Sus scrofa: one gene and its partner. The protein of the gene in region 1 interacts with the protein of each later gene in a biochemical or structural test. Links are inferred from orthologs where the notes say so. Each region holds a gene or a part of one and is shown on either strand. Other genes may lie near its edges.

Region 1 (12,042 bases):
GGGTAGAGAGCGGGGGCAGACCGTGCACGTGGCGGGAGGGTCCCTGACCAGGCATCAACCGTCTCTGCTCTGTGGCGGCAGGTACGGAAGACATTCTTCAGCCTGGCCTTTTGTGACTTCTGCCTTAAGTTTCTGTTCCATGGCTTCCGCTGCCAAACCTGTGGATACAAGTTCCACCAGCATTGTTCCTCCAAGGTCCCCACAGTTTGTGTCGACATGAGTACCAATCGCCGACAGTGAGCCTGGCCTGGGGTGGGTGGGCAGGTGGGGTGGGGAGGACAGAGGCCCAGCCCCAAGGCTCGTACAGCCAGCTGACCCATCTTCCCTCGCTTTACACCCTCAATGCCCTCAAGGTTCTACCACAGTGTCCAGGATTTGTCCGGAGGCTCCAGACAGCATGAGACTCCCTCGAACCGCCCCCTGAATGAGCCGCTAACCCCTCAGGGTCCCAGGTAGGGGATGCCTTAGCCAAAGGGCTATTGTCAGGAGAAAAAGATCTGGAGGCCCCTGTGGACCACAAGCCATACTTTATTCATTTGTTTACTTGATGAACATTTATTGAGCACCTACAAGTGGGGTTGAGGGCATGGAGCTGTGGGACCTTGGGCAAGTCACCTAATCTTTCTGGGCCTTAGTTTTCTCATCTGTAAAGAGGGGAAAGTGACACTTTGATCACACGGGGGTCTGGTGAGGAGTAAATGAGTTAAGACATGTCCAGTGCTTACGGAGTTCCCGTCGTGGCACAGTGGTTAATGAATCCGACTAGGAACCATGAGGTGGCGGGTTCGTTCCCTGGCCTTGCTCCATGGGTTAAGGATCCAGCATTGCCGTGAGCCAGGGTGTAGGTCGCAGACGCAGCTTGGATCCCGCGTTGCTGTGGCTGTGGTGTAGGCCGGCGGCTACAGCTCCAATTGGACCCCTAGCCTGGGAACCTCCATATGCTGCGGGAGCTGCCCAAGAAATGGCAAAAAAGACAAAAAAAAAGACATGTCCAGTGCTTACAAGAAGATCTGGTACAAGATAATAAGTTCTTATTGTTAAATATGTGTATACTAACCACTTCATTAATTCCTCCAGTATAAACATGCTCAGGCCCTTCCATTTTGAAATACATGTTATTTTACCATAAATTCCTTTTCACTTCTCCTTTGTGTTAAGTATTATACTCTAGTATTTCAATATCAAAGCATATTATTGCCTTAATATATCCTAAGCTTATATAATACGCATTTTATATGCCTATATATTTTATAGCATCTGTATGATGTCTTTATGCCATTGTATTGTGTGTCATATTTGTAATGTTTTTATATGATGTCAAACACCAAACTTTATGTAATCTGTAAAATTGTAAAGTTAGGGATTTTTAATTTGGGGGCCTATATGAATTAATTATCTCTAATTGCATTTCAGGATAGGGAGGGAGCATTAAATATTTTGAAACTATGTATGATATATATCATGTATAACATACTTGAATGGGTGTATCAGCTAGAACATTATTATATAGAAGCATTGCCGTTTTAATATAGAGAACATACTGTACATTGTATGGTGCACACAAATTTGAATAGTACAGGCAGTTATATGATATATATTGCTCTGCCCCCACTCTCTGTGCGGCCGGCTGTCCCTCCTTTAAGTCTTTGCTCAAATGTCACCTGCTCAGAGAAGCCTTTCCTGACACAACCAGTGACACTTTCTGTCTCCATATGTTGCTTTATTTTTTGCTTTATTGCACCTGTCATGATTGATCATGTTAAATTTTTTTTTTTTTTTTTTTGCTTTTTAGGGCCACCCCCGTAGCATATGGAAGTTCCCAGGCTGGGGGTCGAATCGGCGCTGTAGCCGCCAGCCTCTGCCACAGCCACAGCCACGCGGGATCCGAGCCGCATCTGCAACCTGCACCACAGCTCACGGCAATGCCGGATCCTCGACCCCCTGAGCGAGGCGGCCAGGGATCGAACCCGCGTCCTTATGGAGAGACGTCGGATTGGTTTCTGCTGAGCCACGACGGAACTCCTAAATATTCTTTATTTTTCATGTCTCCCTCTCCCTGCTGCAGTCAGCCCCATGAGGGCAAGAACCTTTATTTGTTGGGCCCATAGCTTTCCTTCCACTACCTAGAGTGGTGTCTGGCACGGGGCAGGCACGCAGTCAGCGCTTCTTGAACAGACGAATAGTAGTATAATCACAGCGGACACTGACGCCGTGTGAGCTAAACACACACTCAGGACGGGGTGGGGGGCTGCTCTGCTGGTTCTCTCATTCCCTCGACAGTGATTTCACAGCCTTTCCCCTGCCAGCTCCTGCACCCAGCACCGCGACCCTGAGCACTTCCCCTTCCCTGCCCCGGCCAATGCCCCCCTGCAGCGCATCCGCTCCACGTCCACCCCCAACGTCCACATGGTCAGCACCACCGCCCCCATGGACTCCGGCCTGGTCCAGGTTGGTGTCGAGGCGGGCGGTCACCGGGGGGGAGCACCGGGCAGAGGGGAGGGCCGCCCCCGTGGTCCTCCACGTCCTCTCTCTGACTCCCGGCCCTCTTCTTCCAGCTCACTGCCCAGAGTTTCAACACTGATGGTGAGCGCCCCCCCGCTCCCTGCCACCCACACCCCTACTGAGCCCCCCCCCTCGACCCCCGTCCCGCCCGGGGCCACTCACCGCCTCTCCACACCCGCAGCTGCTGGTAATAGAGGTGGTGGCGACGGAGCCCCCCGGGGGAGCCCCAGCCCAGCCAGCGTGTCCTCGGGGAGGAAGTCCCCACATTCCAAGTCGCCATCTGAGCAGCGGGAGCGGAAGTCCTTGGCCGACGACAAGAAGAAAGTGGTAAGCCCCAGGGGGCACCTTTGGTGGGGGCACCGCTGGCCGAGGTGACAAGGGGCGTGGGCGGGCCCCTGAGATGCCACCCATGTGGCCCACAGAAGAATCTGGGGTACCGGGACTCGGGCTATTACTGGGAGGTGCCCCCCAGTGAGGTGCAGCTGCTGAAGAGGATCGGGACGGGCTCGTTTGGCACCGTGTTTCGCGGGCGGTGGCATGGCGATGTGGCCGTGAAGGTGCTCAAGGTGGCCCAGCCCACAGCCGAGCAGGCCCAGGCCTTCAAGAACGAGATGCAAGTGCTCAGGTGAGATGGCCCGCGTGTGCGGCTGGGGGGCGAGGGCGGCGGGCACGGCCTCGGTGCCCCTCTGGGGAAGGGCCGAGCTGGGGGCCCTTCCGGCAGACACCCCCCTCCACCACCAGGTCTGTGTTGTGTCCTAACCACAGCTGTAAGCCGTTTCTCTATCAGGGAAGTCCCTTTCCCCTCGGGGAAGCAGGTATGCTTAGAGGACCTCTCACGATCTTCTTGTCCGTGCGGAGGTAATGACTGATATTCATCAGCGGCTCTGCCTCCAAAGTGTGGGTCTTTTCCGTTTGCCCGCTGTGAAATGGGTATGGCCACAGGCCATCAGTAACGTCATTGCGTGTCCTTACAGTAACAGCATAATGCGAGTTAAACCACATCACCAGGCCGGCTGGCATCCTTCCCTCTCCTGGGCTTGTCCTGCCTCATGAGTATGGTTATTGCGTTGCGTCCTTGTTATTAATTCCAGCAGTACCGTACCTCAAAGGCCAGTATTAGAGGCATAATCAGAACCATAATGGACTCCTGGGCCAGTAAATGAATGTCATTGCTCCACTTAATGCATCATTAATACTGTATTAGTTCATTCGTGCTGAGAAACCCTGGTGCTCCCGTTTGGCCACCCTAGTTACCACCCGCCCTGGGGTTGCTGGTGTCGGCTTTCCCTGGACAAGTGGGCACATTTATGTTACAGAGTGGATGTTATCATCATACTTCCTTGGGCTGTTTTCATACTCAGCCTCACAGTGGAGGCCACAGTAAGAAAACTTTCAGTCTCTGCTCCCCTCTGTGAGATGGCAGTGATTTGAGCAGGCTGGGAATTTGCCCTGCGTTAATATCGAGGAGCTCCCCAGTGGCTCAGTGGGTTAAGGATCTGGCAATGTTGCTGCCATGGCACAGGTTAGATCCCTGGCCCCGGAACTTCTGTGTGCCATAGGTGCAGCCAAAAAAAATATATTGAGGCGTTCCCACTGTGGCACAACAGGATTAGCAGCGTCTCTGCAGCTCCAGGACACAGGTTCGATCCGCGGCCCAGCACAGTGGGTTAAAGGATCCACCGTTGCTGCAGGTGCTGCGTAGGTCACAACTGCGGATGGGAGCTGATCCCCAGCCCAGGAACTCCATATGCTGTGGGGTGGCCAAAAAAGGAAAGAAAAAAAAATCGAGGCGTTCCTGTCTTGGCAGGGGAAACGAATCCAACTAGGAACCATGAGGTTGCGGGTTCGATCCTTGGCCTTGCTCAGTTAAGGATCCAGTGTTGCCGTGTGCTGTGGTGTAGGTTGCAGACACGGCTCGGATCCTGCGTTGCTGTGGCTCTGGCACAGGCCAGCGGCTACAGCTCGGATTCGACCCCTAGCCTGGGAACCTCCATATGCTGCGGGTGCAGCCCTAAAAAAAAAAGACAAAGGACAAAAAAAAAAAAAAAACAAAAACAAAAAACAAAAAGGAAACCATAACCTGACTGCTGTAAAGAGCATGGTTATCCACTCTGATGTGAGCAAATCGAGCAGCATCCTTGATGTTCCTTGTGTTTATGTCACCAATGTAACTGTAGTTAATGCTTCTATGAAGAGTGAAGGTTTTCTTCTAAATGAGGGTGGCTCTGTTCACACAGGACAGGGTTTCTGTGAGGTAGTCCCAGCTACCCAGTAGCGATAGCAGCAAGGACAGTGGCATTGTCAGGGTGCTCGCTTGTGTTCTGCTGTTCTAAGGACCGTACAGGTTATTTATTCAACATTCTCCTCCCAATACCCCTGTCGGGTAGCTCATATAATTATCACAGAGTCTTAGCTGGGGAAAACAAGGCACAGAGAGGTTACTTGTCCTCCCTGAGATTGCACAGTGAGTACCTGGGGAAGCCAGGATTGGAACATGGGATCTAATCTGAGCCCAAACCTCAAGCTCTTTTATCTCTAAGCCTCTCATGATTAACAGGATATGATCACACGTCCCTGATTTTTTTTTTTTTTCGGCTGCCCTGCGGCATATGGAGTTCCCAGGGCAGGGATCAGATCCAAGCCACTGTTGCAACCTATACCACAGCTTTGGCCACGCCAGATCCTTAACTCACTGTGTCAGGCCAGGGATCAAACCTGCGTCCTCGTGTTGCAGCGCTGCCGCCAATCCCGTTGCACCTCATCAGGCACTCCCACTGATATTTTTACCCAGCACATATCAATATTATGTTGATACATCACTGGAGGAGGTTGCTAGTCCACTTCCTCATCTTGCCTCATCACATGGTCACAGGCTCAGGTCATGGTCAGGGTCAGAGGGGTGGCAGGTGTTGTGATGAACTCGCTCCTGGTCAGTAGGGGGTCAGGGTGGGGGCGGTAATCCCTCCCTCCTGCTTTTGTTGGGAGACTTGGATGAGGAAGCTCCGGGCATGAGCCCCCAGGTTGGAATCATAGCCCAGCAAACGTCACTCACAAGTGCCTTGAATCTGGCCACAGTCTGGCCCTGTGCCTCCCAAAAGACAGGGTGGGAATGACGACAGAAGGAGCAGTGGACAGCGCCCTTCCCGATGCTCGATGCTCGGGAAGTTGCCGTTTGCCTTCCCTGCCCTGATGCCGCCCGCCCTGCCTGCAGGAAGACGCGGCACGTCAACATCTTGCTGTTCATGGGCTTCATGACCCGGCCCGGCTTTGCCATCATCACACAGTGGTGCGAGGGCTCCAGTCTGTACCACCACCTGCACGTGGCCGACACACGCTTCGACATGGTCCAGCTCATCGATGTGGCCCGGCAGACTGCCCAGGGCATGGAGTGAGCGGCCTGGCCCGGGCACTAGGGAGGGGTCGGGGGGTTGCTGGAGTGGGGAGATGAGGTGGCCTCCAGACAATCCGCCCTCTGCTTCTACCCCCCATAGCTACCTCCATGCCAAGAACATCATTCACCGAGATCTCAAGTCTAACAGTATCCAGCTGCCCCTGTGTAAGGGCTGGGGTGGGGGGCATCAAACAGGAGGGCTTGGAGGGGTGGCTCTTATGGGGAGGCTTTCTGGGGGAGAACAGAAGGGGCACTCAGGTGGCATTTCCCTTTGCCAGGTGCCAGAGCTGGAGCTGGCGAGGGGCCTCTAATGGGGGGGGGGGTCTCTGGGTCACAGGAGTCAGAGTGGTGGCCAGTTCCAGTGCTGTCCTCTGGGGACCCTGGTCAGGGCCTGCGGGGTGGCCGTTGTGGAGGGCATTATGGGGAGTTCCTGATCCGTGTTGCAGGCGTGGTGGGTGTCGGTGCCATTAGAGGAGCTTCCTGGTCAGGAAGTGATGCGGGGGGTGGGGGGTGAGGGGGCAAGCGTAGGGGACATTAATTGGAGCTCCCCACCCAAGTCCAGGTCGTGGCTAGTCTGTGTGACACTGGGGGGCTTCTGGTCAGGGGAGCGGCGTGACTGGTGCGGAGGCATCAGTCGGGGCGAGTCGCAGTGGTGATCCTTGACCCCGGCGGACATCTTCCTACACGAGGGCCTCACGGTGAAGATCGGGGACTTCGGCCTGGCCACAGTGAAGACGCGGTGGAGCGGGGCCCAGCCCTTGGAGCAGCCCTCGGGCTCCGTGCTGTGGATGGTGAGTTGGGCCTGGCTAGAGTAGGGGCACGTGGGGACATGGGTGGCTGGCGAGGATGTGGGAGGCCAAGTGGGGACAGGGATACCTGGGCCAAGTGTGGGTGTGTCTGGACAGCTCACGTTTCGCCCCAGGGTGTGTGGCTCTGCGTTACACCCAGTGTGGCGAGTGGGATCTGGGCCTCCGGGCCAATCTTTTGCTGACCTCCTGTTCCTCCTGCCTGGTCTGGCCTCTTGAAGGCGGCTGAGGTGATCCGGATGCAGGACCCGAACCCCTACAGCTTCCAGTCTGACGTCTATGCCTATGGGGTGGTGCTCTACGAGCTCATGACCGGCTCGCTGCCTTACAGCCACATTGGCAGCCGTGACCAGGTGAGCCCCGCACCTCACCTGCCATCGCCCACGCCGGGGCATCCCCTCAGCCTCCAAACCTCGCATCTCCTCCGCACAGATCAGGAGACCCCATGTTTTCTGGGCTTCTCATGTTTTCTCATGTTTTCTGGGAATTCTCATTCCCAGAATCCTCTGGGTCTCCCATACCCAGAATTGCCCTGGGCCCCCCCAGCTCCCAGAGTCCAGATGCACAGTGGTCTGGCCTGGGTGCTCAAAATTCCCAAACATCCCCAAAGGCCAGACTCCCATTTCTTCCAGAAACAATCCCTTTGTGCTTCTAAAATCCTCAGATACCCACAACCATTCAGGCCATGGGTATCTGGCAGGCGGGGGTCCTGGAAGCCAAAGTGCTTTAGGCCCCAGACTCAGGGTTCTCCAGGTTCAAGCCCTGGAATCACTCAGACCCTGGGTCAGAAACCCAGGGTCCTCTAGGCTCCAGGTACCAATAGTCTTTGGGTCCTGTGCACCTGAAGTCCGCCAGGCCACGTGGAGCCATAGTCCTCCAGGGAAAGACAAGCTCCTGAGGGCTAGAGTCCTTTTGGTCCTTCCAAGCCCAGAACTTCGTGTTTCCCCCAGACTCCATGCTTTCCAGGCCCCTGAGCACCCTCGAAACCTGTGGAGCCCTTAATCCTCTGGGCCCTGGACACTTAAATCCCCGACTTCCCCCAAGCTTAAATCCCTCGGTTCTGTCAGCAGAGAATCCCTCCGAGTCCTCAGAGACCCAGAATCCTTAGCTCCACAAGATACCCACCATCCTCCGGGCTCCCATACCCAGAATGCCCCAGTTCTCCAAAAAGGAGCCCCCCAAGTCCCTCAAGACCCAGATTTTCCTGGCCTTCTCAGCCTCGATCCCCGGGTCACTTCACTCTGGCCCTTCCCCGCCAGATTATCTTCATGGTGGGCCGTGGCTATCTGTCCCCGGACCTCAGCAAAATCTCCAGCAACTGCCCCAAGGCCATGCGGCGCCTGCTGTCTGACTGCCTCAAGTTCCAGCGGGAGGAGCGACCCCTCTTCCCCCAGGTGGGCCAAGGAGGAGGGCTGGACTACCTGGGGAGGAAGCTTCTGAGGAGGAAGGCTCTTGAGGTGTGAATGTGAACTGTGTGTCTTCAGGGCTCCAAGGTGTGTGTGTGTGTGTGTGTGTGTGTGTGTGTGTGTGTGTGTGTGTGTGTCTCTCTCTCTCTCCAGGGCTCCAAGGTGTACAGGTTGTGTGTGTGTGGGTGGGGGGGGGGGTTTCCCCGTTAGGCTGGGGCCTGGGGTTGCCGGAGTGGCCATGAGGCTCTGGACACCCCTCCTGACCCACCCCTGCCCCCAGATCCTGGCCACGATTGAGCTGCTGCAGCGGTCACTCCCCAAGATTGAGCGGAGTGCCTCGGAACCCTCCTTGCACCGAACCCAGGCTGATGAGTTGCCTGCCTGCCTACTCAGCGCAGCCCGCCTTGTGCCTTAGGCCCCACCCCCAGCCACCAGGGAGCCAATCTCAGCCTGCCACGCCAAGGAGCCCTGCCCACCAACCAATCAATGTTCTGTCTCTGCCCTGATACTGCCTCAGGATCCCCCATCCCCGCCCTGGGAGATGAGGGGGTCCCCATGTACTTTTCCAGTTCCTCTGGAATTGGGGGACCCCCCAAAGACTGGGACCCCTGCCTCCTCCATAATTGGGTTTGTTCTTGGCTTTGGGGATACTTATAAATTCAGGGGCTCCTCCATCTCCAATGGCTGGGATTTGTGGCAGGGATTCCACTCCGAGCCTCTCTGGAATTTGTGCCTGATGTGCCTTCCACTGGATTTTGGGGTCCCCAGCACCCCGTGTGGATTTGGGGGGGTCCCCTCTGTCTCTCCCTCACCATTCAAGGACTCCCCTGTTTCTTCACCAAGAAGCACAGAATTCTGCTGGGCCTTTGCTTGTTTATTTTGTTTCCCGACTCTTCTCGTGGGGTTCAGAGCCGCTGAGGGGTGAGGGTGAGTCCAGGCAAGGAGTGGAGGTTGGGGGTAGGTGCGGACCACACAAACAGCGCCACTGCACGCATCACCACAGGCGGCACGATGAACGAGGACCACATATGCCAAGCACGGCACGAGAGGAGGCCACGTCAGTCACAGACACAGACACCACGGCAAAGGTGGGCAAGTGGGGGACCACTGGCCCGCTGTGTGCAAAGGATTCTGGGAGGTTGGGTGGGATTTGCATATTTAAAGACAGCTGTCAGAGGCAGGAAAGTGGGGCTAGGGTCCCTGGGGCACCGAGGGGTCCTAGCAGTGGGAGGAGCTCCCAGTGTGTTGAGTAGGGTGGCCGGGGGTTGGGGGTTGGTGTCCAAGGGAAATCCTTGTGGGGCTGGGCGGGGGGCATTTGAAGAGCTGGATCTCCCGCAGTGGGAGGTCACAGAGGGGGTCTCAGAGGGAGGGGTTTCTTAAGGATTTTAAGGATTGGGGAAATTCTGATGGGGAACAAGGTGTGCTGGAGACATCTGTGACCAGGAGTGGGGTTTTCCAGGAATTTCAGGGCTCCAGGAGGGGTTGCCTGGAGTTTGGGTGCTTCCAGGAAGGAAAACGCACTCGGGGGGGACCGGGAGTGGATGTCTTCAGGAATGCTGAGGTTCTCAAACTGAGAAGTAGGGCTTGGGGTGAGCGGGAGGGGGCTTTTGAAAGGACATGGGCATTCCGAATGTGAGAAGTGGACTTAGGACCAGGAGCGAGGTTTCCCCAGGGACTCGGGCTTTCTGAGGAGTGAGAAGAGGGGTCTGGGCGATCCAGGAGCGGGCTTCTCAAGGGGTGAGACTCCAAAAGTGAGAAATGGATTCAGGGCCCAGACGGGGGCTGCCCAGGGAAGTGGGGGCTCTCGGGGTGGGGTGTCAGTCGGAGAAGAGGCTGGCGAAAGACTTCCTCAGGCTGCGGATGGTCTCAGCTTTCACCTCGTCCTGGCTAAGGCTGGGCCTGGGCGGGGCTGGCTCTGGAAGGTTGAAGGCATTGGTCAGAGACTGGGATTTGCTAGAGAGAAACAAGGTGGAGGCGTGGGAGGAAGGGGGTGAAGAGGAAGGGAGGAAGGGGAGAGAAACACAACGTTACCCCAGGCCCGGCCCCAGCCCTGCCCCTCTGGTCCTGGGGCTGTGCCTGTGACGCCCCCCACCCCCCCACCAGCAAGGGCCTGGACCCTGCCGGACTCTCAGGAGGAGTGAGGGAGGCCTGGGCCAGGCTGGGCGGACCTGAGTCCGAGGTGAAGAAGCCCGGGATTGATGGGAAGCATCCTGGGCTGAATCTTCTCTTGAGATTCTAGGCTAGACTGCGAGGAGTTTGATAGAAAGGTGACATGATGAGCAGGGAGGTGTCCAGGCTAAGGCCGAGGTGTCCAGAAAGCGGGCGGGGTGGGGCTTGGACCCAGAACAGGCTGGAAGGGGACAAGTGTAAGGGGGTGCGGTCGGGAGGGGGGCAGGGAGGACCTTCTGAGCTAAGGAAGGCGGTCTGGAATGGGCCAGAAGCGGCAGAGAGGATGCTCGGTGTGATGTGGGGAGAAACTGAGATGGACCGAGAGCATTTAGGGGCGGATGAGAAGGGAGCCTGGACGGGAGGAGGCAGAGTAACATAGGAGGACCATGTTGGGGAGGGGGCGCGAGGAGTGTGGGGGTGCAGATGGGGGGATTCAGGTAGGGCAGGAGGAGGATTCGGGGGGCAGGGGAGTACTGGAGGAAGGTCAGCAAGGCATCTGAGGGGGGCCGCGAGGGGCTGGGGGCATTTTCCCAGGGCCTCCTGGGCAGAGTCTGAACTGAAAGAGTGTGTGTGTTGGGGGGCTTCTCTGGGAGTCTGGCTGGGGGGATTTGGAGTCTGAACTGAAAGAGTGTGTGTGTGTGTGTTGGGGAGCTTCTCTGGGAATCTGGCTGGGGGGATTTGGAGTCTGAACTGAAAGTGTGTGTGTGTGTGTGTGTGTGTGTGTGTGTGTGTGTGTGTGTGTGTGTGTGTTGGGGGACTTCTCTGGGAGTCTGACGTCTGAACTGAAAGTGTGTGTGTGTGTGTGTGTGTGTGTGTGTGTTGGGGGACTTCTCTGGGAGTCTGACGTCTGAACTGAAAGTGTGTGTGTGTGTGTGTGTGTGTGTGTGTGTGTGTGTGTTTGGGGACTTCTCTGGGAGTCTGACGTCTGAACTGAAAGTGTGTGTGTGTGTGTGTGTGTGTGTTGGGGGACTTCTCTGGGAGTCTGACGTCTGAACTGAAAGTGTGTGTGTGTGTGTGTGTGTGTGTTGGGGGACTTCTCTGGGAGTCTGACGTCTGAACTGAAAGTGTGTGTGTGTGTGTGTGTGTGTTGGGGGACTTCTCTGGGAGTCTGACGTCTGAACTGAAAGTGTGTGTGTGTGTGTGTGTGTTGGGGGACTTCTCTGGGAGTCTGACGTCTGAACTGAAAGTGTGTGTGTGTGTGTGTGTGTGTGTGTGTGTGTGTTGGGGGACTTCTCTGGGAGTCTGGCGCCGGATCTCTGCGATGGAGGGCAGGCGCCTCCTTGAGCTGGGAGGGGTCTGGCCCCGACTGGAACTGGAGAGCGAGCTCTCCGGACCCCTGTTACGGGACCTGGCGCTGAGCAGCCTGGGCGCTGGGGCTGCCCTCCTGGTGGTGCAGAAGCCCGTTTTGTGAGCAGTGAGGCAAAGGCTGCTGTGGGGTCCCCTTACTTGAGCTGGGGGTGTGGGGGTCCCCCGGCAGCAGCAGCAGCAGCAGCGGCAGCAGCAGCAGGCGGTGGCACGTCCTGGCTAGGTTTCTGTGCCAGCTGTGGCTTGGTGGGACGTCCAGCAGGGCCTGGGCCACTGGGTCGCGGCTGCTGCGTGGTGGGTGGCCCAGTGCGGGGCATGGGACCCGCCTGGCTGGCCTGGCGTGTGGGGCCGGCGGGGCCTGGGGGTTTCTGGGGTGGGCCCTGGCGCTGCTGACCACCCGGTGGAGCCCCCGAGGCCTTTGGCGGAGCCTGACCAGAGACAGATGTCTGCCGAGTAGCCTGTG
Region 2 (12,042 bases), on another chromosome or scaffold:
GGCCACGCCCGCAGGGTGCCCCCACCTGCCCTCACCGTGAGCTCGGCCTCGCCCTTCCCTAACTCGGCGCCCAGCAGCACCACCTGCCGAGAAGGGCCCTGAACACAGCAAGTGTGGCCCCCGGAACTGTCTCAGGAGGCCCTGGCTGGTGCCTCAAAGATGCCACCAGCAGGAGCAGGCCCTCTCCTAGCTGCAGGCCCAGCAGCACCCTCTGCATCAGGACCGGCGCCCCAAACGCAGGACCCACACACAAGGCCCACCCATCCCTAGGCTGCTGTGCAAACCAGGCCGACTCGAGAAGGGTCTGCCTCTTCCTTCACACCGTTTCCTAAATCTCCCAGCATCCCTGAAGAAGGAGGGTGCTGAGTGCCCCTGGCGAAGCTTCCAGAAAGGGTGGAGAAAGTGGTGCTGAAAGGACGGCCCCCCAGGTTGTCAGAGGCTCAGTGGGAACACCTGCCGTCACGTCCTTCCCGAGGTGAGTGGTCACAGCAAGGGAGGACCCAGCGGCCACGACACCGGCGACCAGCATTCTCCCCACGCGAGACACAGGACCCCCGGCCCGGAGGGCCCTCCCTCCCAGGCAGGCGCTCTGCTCCACGGCTCTGGGTCCCAGCGGCACAGCCTGCCCGGTGCCGACGTGAGACGTCTGGGCAGGACGGGCTCTGCGTGGCTCTGCCCAGGGCCTCTGCAAAGCCCCTCAGGTGACCCCACGTGGGGGCCAGAGCTAAGCACCCCCACGTGGACCAGCTTCGACAGAGCAGCTGGCCCCCATCCACGTGGACAAGGAAGGGCACAGGTTTCTCTGGGGGAGGGGCTCTGCGGCGCCCACGTGCCCTGCCCTGGCCGTGACCCCCGTGCGGGACCTACGTTCCTTCTCCAGAAGAGGATCCTGAGCAGGATGAGCTGCCAATGACTGGGAGTCACTCGTGCTTTGTGTCAGCAGCTTCTCAGGTTTGCGGTGGGGACAGTAGAGGGGGCGGCGGCTGAAGAATCCCCACCCTCCCTTCCTCTGGCCTCCGGGCACATCCAGGTCCATCACCGGGCCTCTCCTCAGCCCCACCCCCGGCTCCCAGGTTCAGGGCAGCAGGAGGCCCCCCTCCCCCGCCCTGCACACACACACACACACGCGTGTTGCTACGTGTGTCTGGCGCTCTTCCCTGAGCTGCAGGCGTGTCCAGGGGGCTTGTGCACTCACAGTGTCTGTGGCGGCTCTCCTGCGTGTCCCACGTGGAAATAAACTGATCGGCGAATAATGAAGCTTCAAGGAGCATCAGGGTTACAGTTATCTATCTGCTCTGAATATCTGGGACCGAAAAATTACTGTTGGCTTTGAACGCTGAGTGGTATTTTCTATTGAAGAAAAATTAAGGATCTATTTTAACAAATATCCAGAGACTGAAAGAGGTCAGATCATCAAACCAGCCCCTCGACCGATGCCAAAGGGCTGGGCAAAGTGTAAGCCGTGAGCCGTTCACCCCAGGCTCCAGAAAACGGTGCCCACACTTACGACACCAAGGTGGCGAGTGTCTGTCTCCAGGATGCCAGAGTTGGTCACAACCCGTCATCTTGTTGCAAGATTATTTCTTGGTCTTGGAGTTCAAATTACCTGACTCCTTCTTCTTTTATCAAAGAAGTAAAAGAACTATAAAAAGAAGGACTCTAGCGATCTCTATAAATTACAAAGCCACAACGCAGTATCTGTGAAACAAGTTGTCTACAAACAGGAGGGTTAAAAAAATATTTCAGTGAAACACATACACGTGTCTTTGTGTGTAAATGGTGGAACTATGAGGAAAGTATCTTAGTTTAAGGAAGTTTATTGTTAGGTTTTTGTAGTAATAGATGAGGCACAACTATCTCCTGCTTCTCCAACATCTCAATAAAAAAGACAATAATCAGGAGTAACAGTGAAATTAAAAAATACAAAAGCCTAAGGTTTTGGACAGAAAAATGACTATAAACTACGTGCAGAAAAACTGTAAATGGTTTTAGTTTAGCCTTGCAAAGAGTGACCTTCTTCTCTATGACAAATCAGGCCTTGCGAAGCTGCCTGCTCGGCTCGCAGTGGAGGGGCGGGGGCCCAGGCCCTCAGGCGTCCCACCCGCGTCCCGGCCCCTCAACAGCCGCGGCCTCCCCTCCCGGGGCGCGTCTGGGTCTGCAAGGGGACCAGCGCACGTGTCAGGCTGCTTCACTGACCAGGCTGAGCCCAACTGGTGGGAGAGCCGTTCCAACACCTCCGCCGGTTGCACGGATGGCGAGGGCAGAGCCACGGAGACGGTTCCCAGCTGGTGAGGGAGCCGGAGGCCCCCGAGGCCCCCGGGAGCCCCGGGCCCAGCCGGCAGGGAGAGCGCAGCTGCAGGCCCAGGGCAGGCCCTCGGCCCTGCCCCGACGGAGCCCAAGCGCGTTCTTTTCCCTTAAACCAGGGTCACTGGCCCTGAACCTGGAGCACGTCCTTTCGGTTTATGAAGAGCCACAGGAAGCAGGACAAAAACAGCAACTTTTCTCCAGCCAAAAAAAGAGCCGAAACTCCAGCAAACGCCGACAGGAAGCCTCGAGCACGAGAAAGGATTTCGTGCTGTCCCCTCGTTCAAACGCTGTGATAACAGGATGACTCAGAAGCAGGCCTCTTCCTCCCCTTCCTGCGGGCCAGCCTCCGAGGCCGCTGCTTATCTGCCGGATGAAAGCGAGCAGGACAGGCCCCAGGACACAGGACGGAACAGCGTGGCCTGGGGCCGGGGCCTGGGGATGGTTCTTCAACCACAGGAACATTCTGGTGCCACTTACAGGGGAAGTGTTTTCTCGTTCACTTGCTCAGAAAAGTCCTCGACAGGCCACACAGATTGTAGCAGAGGAACACCCAGAGGAGGCCAGTCTGGAAGGCAGCGTGTTTTTGAAACGGTGACAGACACCCGGGCAAAGCACCGGAGAGCAGGGTTTACCAGCTCGCAGCGACGTTCACAGCCTCCTGGAGTCTGACCCGGAGGAGACCACAGCCGGTAGTGTTTACCTGTCACGTGTGTGGTAACAGAAGCAACAGACTGGATCCGAGCTTTGATCCTCGGGCTGGCTATTGGAAGGCACCAGTGGGGTGGCAGTGTGGACAAAGCCGGATTTTCCGGGCAGCAGCTGCGGCCCGAGTGAAGGCTGTGCTGGCGATCCCGCCAGCTCCGGAGGCCCCCGAGAGGGCGAGGCTCCCTGCAGCCGCGCAGGTGCTGGGCGACGGGGAGTGACGGGGACAGAGGCAGTGCCCGCAGGGCCGAGGGCGGGAGGGTGGCCCGGAGGAAGCAGGCACCGCCGGGCAAAAGGGAGGGGGGCATGCACCTGCGTCCACACCTCCCACCCCGTGATCTGACGGGGCGGGAAGACAGCGCACGCAGGCTGTGGGGGCGTTAAGGCAGGTCTACACCCGCATTCTCGCTCCCCTGCTCTCAAGCCGGCGCCGGCGCTTCATCGAACAGCCGGGACCAGGGCCTCTCGGGAAACTGGCACAAGAGAGGGAAAGGCGGCGCCCTCCCTCGGGGAGGCCCCGCGCTGGGACCCAGCTCAGCCCGCACGCCCGGCACCTCCCGCGAGGCCCCAGCGGGCGACGCCCCTCCGCGGGGACGCAGAGCTGGAGAGGACCGGCATCGGCCTCCGCACAGACCTGGGCTTTGGCGGCTCTGCCACCAAGGACGGCGCGGGCGCGCGCAGACCCGCAGGCCCCGCCTAAGCTGCGTCCGAAAAGGAAGCGTCCGGAAGAGGGAAGCCGTGTTCTCCGGCGTCGCACGTTCACACCAGGGTGACCGCTTGGATCTCAGTAGTGTCACTCGTCCCCAGGACTCAGTAGCTAATGCCGGCGCGGCGCCGCCTTCGGCCGTGCGCGCGCCGGCGGGACGGAGCGCGCCCCCGGGGCCCGGGCCCGCGGCGCGGCCGCTCTCACTGCAGCATGATGTCTTTGAGGTTCTCCTGCAGGATGGTGTCCTTCACGGCGTGGAAGACGAAGCGGATGTTCTCGGTGTCGATGGCGGTGGTGAAGTGGTGGAAGAGCGGCTTGCTGCGGTTGCGCCTCTTCCGGTCGAAGCACTGCACCAGGTAGCGCTGCACGTCCTCCAGCCGGTGGGGGTCGCCCTTGAAGTCTGGGAAGTGCTTCTTGATGCTGACGGCCTTGACCTTCTCCACCAGGAGGTCCATCTTGTTGAGGAAGAGGATGATGGAGACGTTGAAGAAGAGCTTGTTGTTGACGATGGTCTCGAAGATGTTCATGGACTCCACCAGCCGGTTGGTGCACCTGTCCTCCATGAGCACCTGGTCGTACTCGCTGGAGGACACCATGAACAGGATGGACGTGATGCCGTCGAAGCACTGGAACCACTTCTGGCGCTGCGAGCGCTGGCCGCCCACGTCCACCATCTTGAAGGGGATTTTTTTGATGACGAAGTCGTGCTCCACGATGCCCTTGGTGGCCTTCCTCGCCAGCAGGATGTCCTGCTTGCTGGGAAAGTAGTTCTGCAAGACAGGACAGGGAGACGCTTGGGGGAGGAAGGTATGGCGGCGTGGGGGGGGGGGGGGATGCCGTGGAGGGAAAGAGCGTGGGGCTGAAGCGGACGCCAAAAGCACCTTTCACTCCCAGAACCCAGGGCGGGTGATCGGGAGCCTCCCTCTTGGCTCCTGCTCAAAAACCTCATCCCTTTCTTCCCCACAGGAAACTACCATCTTTCTCCCCCTGCACCATCGCAACCTTTCTATTTTTCTAACTCGCAGGGCACACGCATTCCAAAAGCTTAGTGTGAGCAGATTTAATTGAGGTTCTGCACTGCTCTTTGAATTTCGCCTGCCGTATATTTAATGTGTTTTTCTTGGGGAACTCTTACAGTCTTGAGCACTACGCCGGCAACCGCGGTCACGCAGACCGCCCTGCTCCTGCACCACCGACAACCCTCCCGCGGTTACTGCACACTGGCACTCACGCAGCAGCCCGGCCCCAAACCCAAGCAGGGACAGCGCTCTAGGACCAACCCATTCCCACGGTGCACGGGGGTGTGTGTGGGGGGGCAGAGAGACACCTGCATTAACACGGTCGGGGTGGCGCAGCAAAACCCAGATGTGAGAAACCCCACAGGAGAAATTGCCCAATCACTCCAACAAATAAAGCCAAAAAAAAAAAAAAAAAAAAATGAAGGCAGAAGCCTATGGATTAAAGGAGGTTTAAGTGACATGGACCAAATGCGATGATGGACCTTAATAAGAGGTTGATTCCAACTGCTGAAATACAGCAGCGTCCGCAAGAAAACACTTATGAATGAGACATCTGGGAAAAATCTCACAACTGACCAGATATTGGTTGATATTGAGGAACACTGCTAATTTTTTAGGAGCAATAATGGCATTGTGGTTGTGACTTTTAGAGTCTTATCAGTCCAGAGATACCCTCCAAAATATTCTCTTTTTTTTTGGTCTTCTTGTCTTTTTGCCTTTTCTAGGGCCGCTTCTGCAGCATATGGTATGGAGGTTCCCAGGCTAGGGGTTGAATCGGAGCTGTAGCCACCCGCCTACGCCAGAGCCACAGCAACGCGGGATCCGAGCTGCATCTGCGACCTACACCACAGCTCACAGCAACGCCAGATCCTTAACCCACTGAGCAAGGCCAGGGATTGAACCCGCAACCTCGTGGTTCCTAGTCGGATTCGTTAACCACTGCGCCACAATGGGAACTCCCCTCTAAAATATTCTTGATGAAGTAATATGATGGATTTGTTCCTGGGGGTGGGGTGGGGCTGAGGGAACAAGCCGGGTCAGAAGCGACAGGCACTGCATGTGGGGTTTCATTACACTATTTCTCCTTGTATACGTTTGCATTTTCCATGATGAAAAGTTAAAGGAGCTCTTTCGTTTACAAAAGAACTTCCGTCTCCATTTTTGTGCTCTGGGAGAAGGAATCCTTACAGAAACCCTACTTTACATCCGATTTAAGCAGGGACTCGAGGTTTCCCAGCAAGACGGTGAGGAAGAAGAAACCCTCGGCCCCTCCATCCTGACACAGATGGAAGCGGGAGCGTGGCGTCTCCACCGCACTCCTGGTCCCCAACGCAGCGAGGCTGGCTCTCGAGGGCGGCTTCCGTCTCCACACAGATGCTTTCTGACCCTCGACCACAGGCTCCTGGAGGGGGGCTCTTACTCACCAGCTGGCCAATCCGGTCCAAGTTATCCAGGAAATACTTCACCGATTCGCCCTGTCGTGGAGGAAAAAGATTCGCGACTCAGTCTCGGTTGAGGAACGCGGACGTGGTACAGGGAGAACTTAGCAGGGTCGCAAGAGTGCGGTTTTGCCTCTGGGTGAGTTGGAAGGCAAAGTGAAAGACTGAGAGCATGCATGGAATTTTAAAAATTAAAACCAATCCCAAGCATCCAGAAATGCCATTTCTCTAGCGGATCCCAAGGTTCAAATTCCAACTGTTTTTTAAAGTGTCCCCACTGGCTCCTGGCGACGGCAGGCTGCTGGCCCCTCCAACCCAGCTGACGCCTCCCTCGCGGATGCGGAGGCTGGCCCGCTGCAGGCCACGCCGCCAGGGAGCCCGAAGGGAGGACCGTGGTCCTGCGAGCAGCGCTGCCAGCGCAGGACTCCCGCACTGCTGGAGAGAGGGGACATCTCTGGCAAGAGACACAGGACAAAACATGCTCCAGTGTCGCCAGCAGGCCCTGCCACACATTTGTACAACCTGATTTACACTCTACGACAAGGGACGCTCTGGTCTGGACTCAGGGCTGCAGCGGCCCGTCTTCTTCAGCCCCCAGACGCGCTCGGGACTGGACGTGGACACAGACCCAGACGCTGGGTAGCTGGCAGCGACCTTGAGAATCACCCGCACTCCTGCACCCTTGGCGTTGTGGGACGCGGCTGCCCTCTCGGCCTGAGGACGTCAGCGGCCTCGGCCTGGATGGAGCGGCGGGGGACGGGCCTGCGGGCGGGCGCCGGCCTGCAAAGGCCGGACGTGGGGAAGGGGTTCTGACCGGTGCAGGGGACGCGGCTTTCTAGAGACTCCGCTGAGCCTCCTTCGGCCGACGGGACCAGTGGGGTGGCGCCAGGCTCTGGGGGCGTCGCCCAGGGAGCCACACACGCGGGCCGCAGAGGCCACGGCAGACCTTTCGGGGGGGGGGCAGTAGAAAGGAGCCAGGGTCCAGCTTGAGCTCATGACCCCATGAAAACAAGGTGAACAAAGACGGGAGCGGCAGCTCTTCTTACGAGGCTCAGGCCCCAAGGAAGCGGCCACGGCGGGAGGCCCCTTAGGGACAAAGCAGCCTTCGGGTTGAGGCCTGTGCGTGGCGCACAGACAGCCTTCTGCTTCAGGCCAGGGGACACTCCCCCTGGGCACGGACTCTGACTCGTGGCACAGTTCTCCCCCTTGGTGTCCGGCTCTGCTCCAGCAGGTCCAGGCAGTCAGAGGTGGGCCCAGGCAGCGGTGCCCGCATCCCCAGGTCCCCCAAGGCAGAGCCGCAGTCTGGCGTGGTGGCGGCAGCGCGCCCCTGCCCACGGCTGCCCTAGGCGCTCACTGCACGGCCTGCTCCTCCCACGACTCGACAGGACACAGCTGGTGGCGAAGCGCTGCTGGGGGGTGGCTGCTCGCCTGAGCTCTGGCTGCGTCTCCCCCCACAGGGCCTCCCCTCTCACCTCCTGACAGGAGAGCTTAGGAAGACTGAGGACACTGCCGGTGGGTCCAGGAGAAAAGAAAGTGGACAAGCTCCCTGGCGGCGGGTCTGCGCCAGACAGAGCACAAAAGGTCACGGCAACACATGCCTCAGCCCGTTCTGTCACTGTGATGTGGCAGATGTCCCGGCAACACGGGGGCAACCTTAAGCCCAACACACAGCTGTGGCGTGAAAAGCCCCAAGGACACAATTAAGGACAAGCTAAACACAGGCTCTCTTAAAAAAAGAAGGAATTATGTCCCCCAGTTTGACTTTAAATATTTCCAATACTGAGTCGGAAGTCAGGGTCACCCCAATGGACCTTAGAACGCAGGGGATGCTCATGCTAACGGCCTTTGGGGTTCCTGTGGCACCAGGATGCTTTAAGAGCCGCAGCAACCTGCTTCCCGACACCGGAGGTGCCTCGTGCGCGATGCCGCTGCACGGTCATGGCCACGGCTCTTTCTAAAGAGAACCCCGACGAGGACAGGGAGACATGCAGGGGACATGCCAGGCAGGGGACATGCCAGGCAGAGGGCGGGGCCGCTCTGCTCTCTGACTCGGGCGAGAGGGAAGGGGACAAGGAGGGCAGACGAGGAGCCAGCGTTCAAACCAGAATCGGTGGGCCAACTCCGCAGCCTCCGCCCTGCTGGCCGGCTGGGCTGGACGCGGCCGAGGACACAGGCTGTGCGGTCGGACCGAGGGGGCCGTCTTCCATCTGCAAGGCTGCCTACAGGATGGGCACGCGCCACAGGCTTGCAGCGTCAGCTCGTTCAAAGGTCGGGGTCACCCTTCTGATCTATCCTCAGCCCTTGTCCGAGAGGAGCGTGTGGGGCACAAGCCGAGATGCCAATGTGAAATTAACCACCCAGACTCCGCTGTAGACACTGGAACAGGAATGTCCGTGTGTGACCCCCTCCCCAGGGGCTGAAACCTAACCCCTGGGGTGGTGGTGTCAGGAGGCGGGGCCTTTGGGAGCTGCTTGTGTCTCGAGGGTGCAGCCTCATGAATGGGCTCAGTGCCCTTATTAAAGGGACCCCAGAGGGCTCCCTCCCGCCTCCCGCGTTAGGGCACAGTGGGAAGATGCTGTCTATGAACCGGGAAGCCGGCCCCGCCCGACGCTCAATCTGCTGGTGTCCTGACTTTGCAAGACCAGCCTCCAGAACTGTGAGAAATAAATGCTTGCTGTTTAGGTCTATGGTGTTTTATTACTGCAGGCTGAATGGACAAACACAGCACCTTTATAAAAAGAGTATGGAGTTCCTGTCATGGCGCAATGGTTAACGAATCCGACTAGGAACCATGAGGTTGCAGGTTCAATCCCTGGCCTTGCTCAGTGAGTTAAGGATCCGGTGTTGCCGTGAGCTGTGGTGTAAGTTGCAGACGCGGCTCGGATCCCGTGTTGCTGTGGCTCTGGCGTAGGCCGGTGGCTACAGCTCCGATTCGACCCCTAGCCTGGGAATCTCCATCTGCCTCGGGAGCGGCCTGAGAAACGGCAAAAAGACAAAAAAAAGAGTATTATGCGAGGCAAAGCGCCCTGAGGGTCTCCTGGTAGCTGCAGCAGTAACATGGTCTACAAAGAGGAGGACGTGGGAAATGGGCTTTTTATAGCCCTCCTTGGTTTGAAGAATCTCAATCACTTAAGATGAAGAAGATGGATTCATGGATTAGACCCAACACAACGAACACATGAGCTCAGGGGCCAGTGAGGCCACACTCCACATCCAGCCTGCCTCCTGCCTCCAGCCCCCAGCGAAGCTCCGGACGAGGATGCTGAGGGGGTCCAGGGGTGGAGGAGCCAGGCTGTCTGATTCAAGCGGCAGCAGCAGGTGCTGGAACAGATGGGCGCATGACACGAGGACAGAGGCAGGGCCCAGCTTATGTGCACGACGCCTTTTTGGCAAATGGACTCTGATCTCGGGCGCCATCGCCCACCCCTCTAGTTGGTGAAAGACACGTTCAGGCTCCATGCCGCCTTGAGGGATCCTGTCCGGCTGGTCAGACGGACGCTCCTGTGCTCCCGCATCCCAGAAGCTGCCCCTCAGGCCACCGCGCAGCCCGCGCAGGTCCGAGAGGACACAGCCTCAGCTCGTTCAGCTGGGAGTGAGCCCAGGCCGTCGAGACCGGGGCACGACGGGCTTGCTCTGGTCACACCTTTCTCTGGATGGGAATCCAGTCTCCCACACCTGGGTGAATTCTGGTCCTTTCTGTCAGTGTCACAGGGGAGGTATGAGCGTGAAAGAGAGCCTGCCTGGGTCAGGAATCACCAGCAGAGGCCCCACAGGAGAGGGGAAGGCGGAGGGAGGGGTGGGTCAGGCCAAGGGGTCCAAAGGCGGAGGCGGCAGAATTCAAGGGCCAGCGAAGGTTGAGGGGCAGCGAGCGCCGACACCCCCATCTGGCCTCCCAGGAGCCCTCCCTGCCCCTGGGCTCTGGGGAGCTACTTCTAAAGTTGTAACTCAGGGCTCGTCGAGGGCGAGCGGGACTGGAAAATCCAGTTCACTCATTTCAACACGACAAATGACAAAGACAGATTTAAAAACTGCTGTGTGTTAAAAACAACAAACTATCCCGAAGGTCAGATGCTCAGTTCCATGACTTAGTAAACAGCAAATTCAAGACTTTACTTCCACGTGATAGAGATGTTTGGTTAAAACAACCTGACTGAACAGAGTACTTTTAAAAATACTTCAAAAAGTATCATGTAATTCCCGAAAAGAAACTTTCACTGTGAACTCAGGCTTTGCTCAGTTAGAACCTGTGACATCTCCCTGGGATCCCGTGAGATTAAATGATATCATAGCTGTGAACGTATCTGGAAAAAGATAAAGCATCATATTAATATACATTATCGACAGTTCCTGGTGGTCTAATGGCTGAGGACACGGTGCTTTCACCGCTGCAGCCTGGGTTCAGTCCCTGCTCTGGGAACTGAGATCCCACATCAAGCCGCTGTACTCTGCGGCCCCCAAATTAGGTATGTGGGTATATACGTGTGCATGTATATATATGCATGTATCTGTGTGTATGTGTGTGTATATGCATGCATGTGTGTATATATGTATGCACGCACACATGTGTGTATGTGTGTGTGTGTGTGTATGGACACCTTAGAAAAATAAAGATTCTCACATTTTAATTTGGATGCCTACAAACTGTTGGTAATTATAATCCGAAGAAGGTAAAAGACTCACTGGCAAAATGACGGATGCACAGAGCCGGTGGCTGCAGCATTTGGGGACAAGCCAAACGTCCCTTGGGTAGAGGACCACGCAGCTGCGGAAAGGAACGAGGAGGAGCCCGAGGGACAGCCCGCTGGGGAGAGACTCCCACGCCGTCGGACGGAAGCACCCGAGGTGCAGAACGGGGGGCGTACTGCGCTTCTTTTGTCTCATGGTGAGGAAGCCAAATCCCACATACCGTGTGCTCCTATTTTCAGAAGGCAACACGGAAGATAAACCAGCAACCAGTGAAAAGGGAGAGCAACGGGGAGGGAGGTGCGGCCGGGAGGAAGCAGACCTCTCTGAATGTATTTTGACCCCAGAACCATGCAAACACTGTACATAATTAAAAATGCAATTGAGTTTTACAAAACCACCCCCCAGAATCGAAGGCAAACGGAAACCAACGGCTGGAACGGCCTATCAGGCTGGACGTGTCCCTCTGGGACGCCTTCCCCTCAGGCAGAGGGTTTGGACCAGCTCTCCCGCCTCCGCTGCGGGCCGTTGTCCGAGCTCGTGCTCCAGCCCCGTATCCAAGCGCCAGCCTCCGCCCAAGATCCCAGCAACGGCTGCCCCTTGGCCACGGTGGTGAGACCCAGGAAAAGGCCCAAACAGGCCCTGGAAGCAGGGCTGGCCTGGGTGTGTCTCCTGGGCCTGCACGATGGGGTGCGGCCCCAGGTCAGAGGGCCAGGCCCTCTTGCCTTTGTCTGCTTCTTAAATTGAGGTAAAACTCACACAGTAAAGTGTACAGCGCCGTGGCACCAAGCGCATCCCCCGGGCTGTGTCCCCCGCTCCTGAACCAGCTCCCGGCGCTTCATGCCCAAAGTGGGCCTTGCGCCCGCGAGCAGTTAGCCCCGTTCTCCGACCAACCCCTCGGTGCGTCTCACGACGTGCCCCTTTGGAGATTTCCTACACATCACAGTCTGACCCGAGGACTGGGCTTGTTTCACTCGGCATCACGCCCTGGAGGTTCGCCCGTGTTGCGGCCGCTGCCGGGTCTGCATCCCTTTCCAAGGCTGAGAACAGGCCGCCGTGCGGCTGGACCGTGTCGTGTGCATCCGTCGGCGCGCGGATGGAGTTCAGATTACTTCCGGCTTCGGCCACTGAGACGAGCGCCGGGGCACTCACGCACACGTCTTTGTTGGAACACCTGTTTTCAAGT

The links.
Region 2: the proteins of ARAF (region 1) and GNA12 form a complex in vitro, tested with the Homo sapiens proteins (2 studies listed by BioGRID). The link is inferred for Sus scrofa from reciprocal best matches to the Homo sapiens genes ARAF and GNA12.

What each region holds. Positions count from the first base shown.
Region 1 is NC_010461.5:42,081,284-42,093,325, forward strand, and holds the end of ARAF (serine/threonine-protein kinase A-Raf), read left to right. Parts: intron 1-81; coding exon 82-236; intron 237-353; coding exon 354-452; intron 453-2,306; coding exon 2,307-2,448; intron 2,449-2,555; coding exon 2,556-2,583; intron 2,584-2,683; coding exon 2,684-2,829; intron 2,830-2,924; coding exon 2,925-3,127; intron 3,128-5,713; coding exon 5,714-5,890; intron 5,891-5,993; coding exon 5,994-6,040; intron 6,041-6,565; coding exon 6,566-6,684; intron 6,685-6,920; coding exon 6,921-7,052; intron 7,053-7,958; coding exon 7,959-8,093; intron 8,094-8,385; coding exon 8,386-8,520; 3' UTR 8,521-8,963; downstream 8,964-12,042. Other genes in the region: SYN1 (synapsin-1), read right to left, coding at 9,923-10,058, 11,721-12,042. UniProt on the Homo sapiens protein: Involved in the transduction of mitogenic signals from the cell membrane to the nucleus. May also regulate the TOR signaling cascade. Phosphorylates PFKFB2.
Region 2 is NC_010445.4:2,001,557-2,013,598, forward strand, and holds the end of GNA12 (guanine nucleotide-binding protein subunit alpha-12), read right to left. Parts: intron 6,210-12,042; coding exon 6,159-6,209; intron 4,486-6,158; coding exon 3,916-4,485; 3' UTR 938-3,915; downstream 1-937. UniProt on the Homo sapiens protein: Guanine nucleotide-binding proteins (G proteins) are involved as modulators or transducers in various transmembrane signaling systems. Activates effector molecule RhoA by binding and activating RhoGEFs (ARHGEF12/LARG).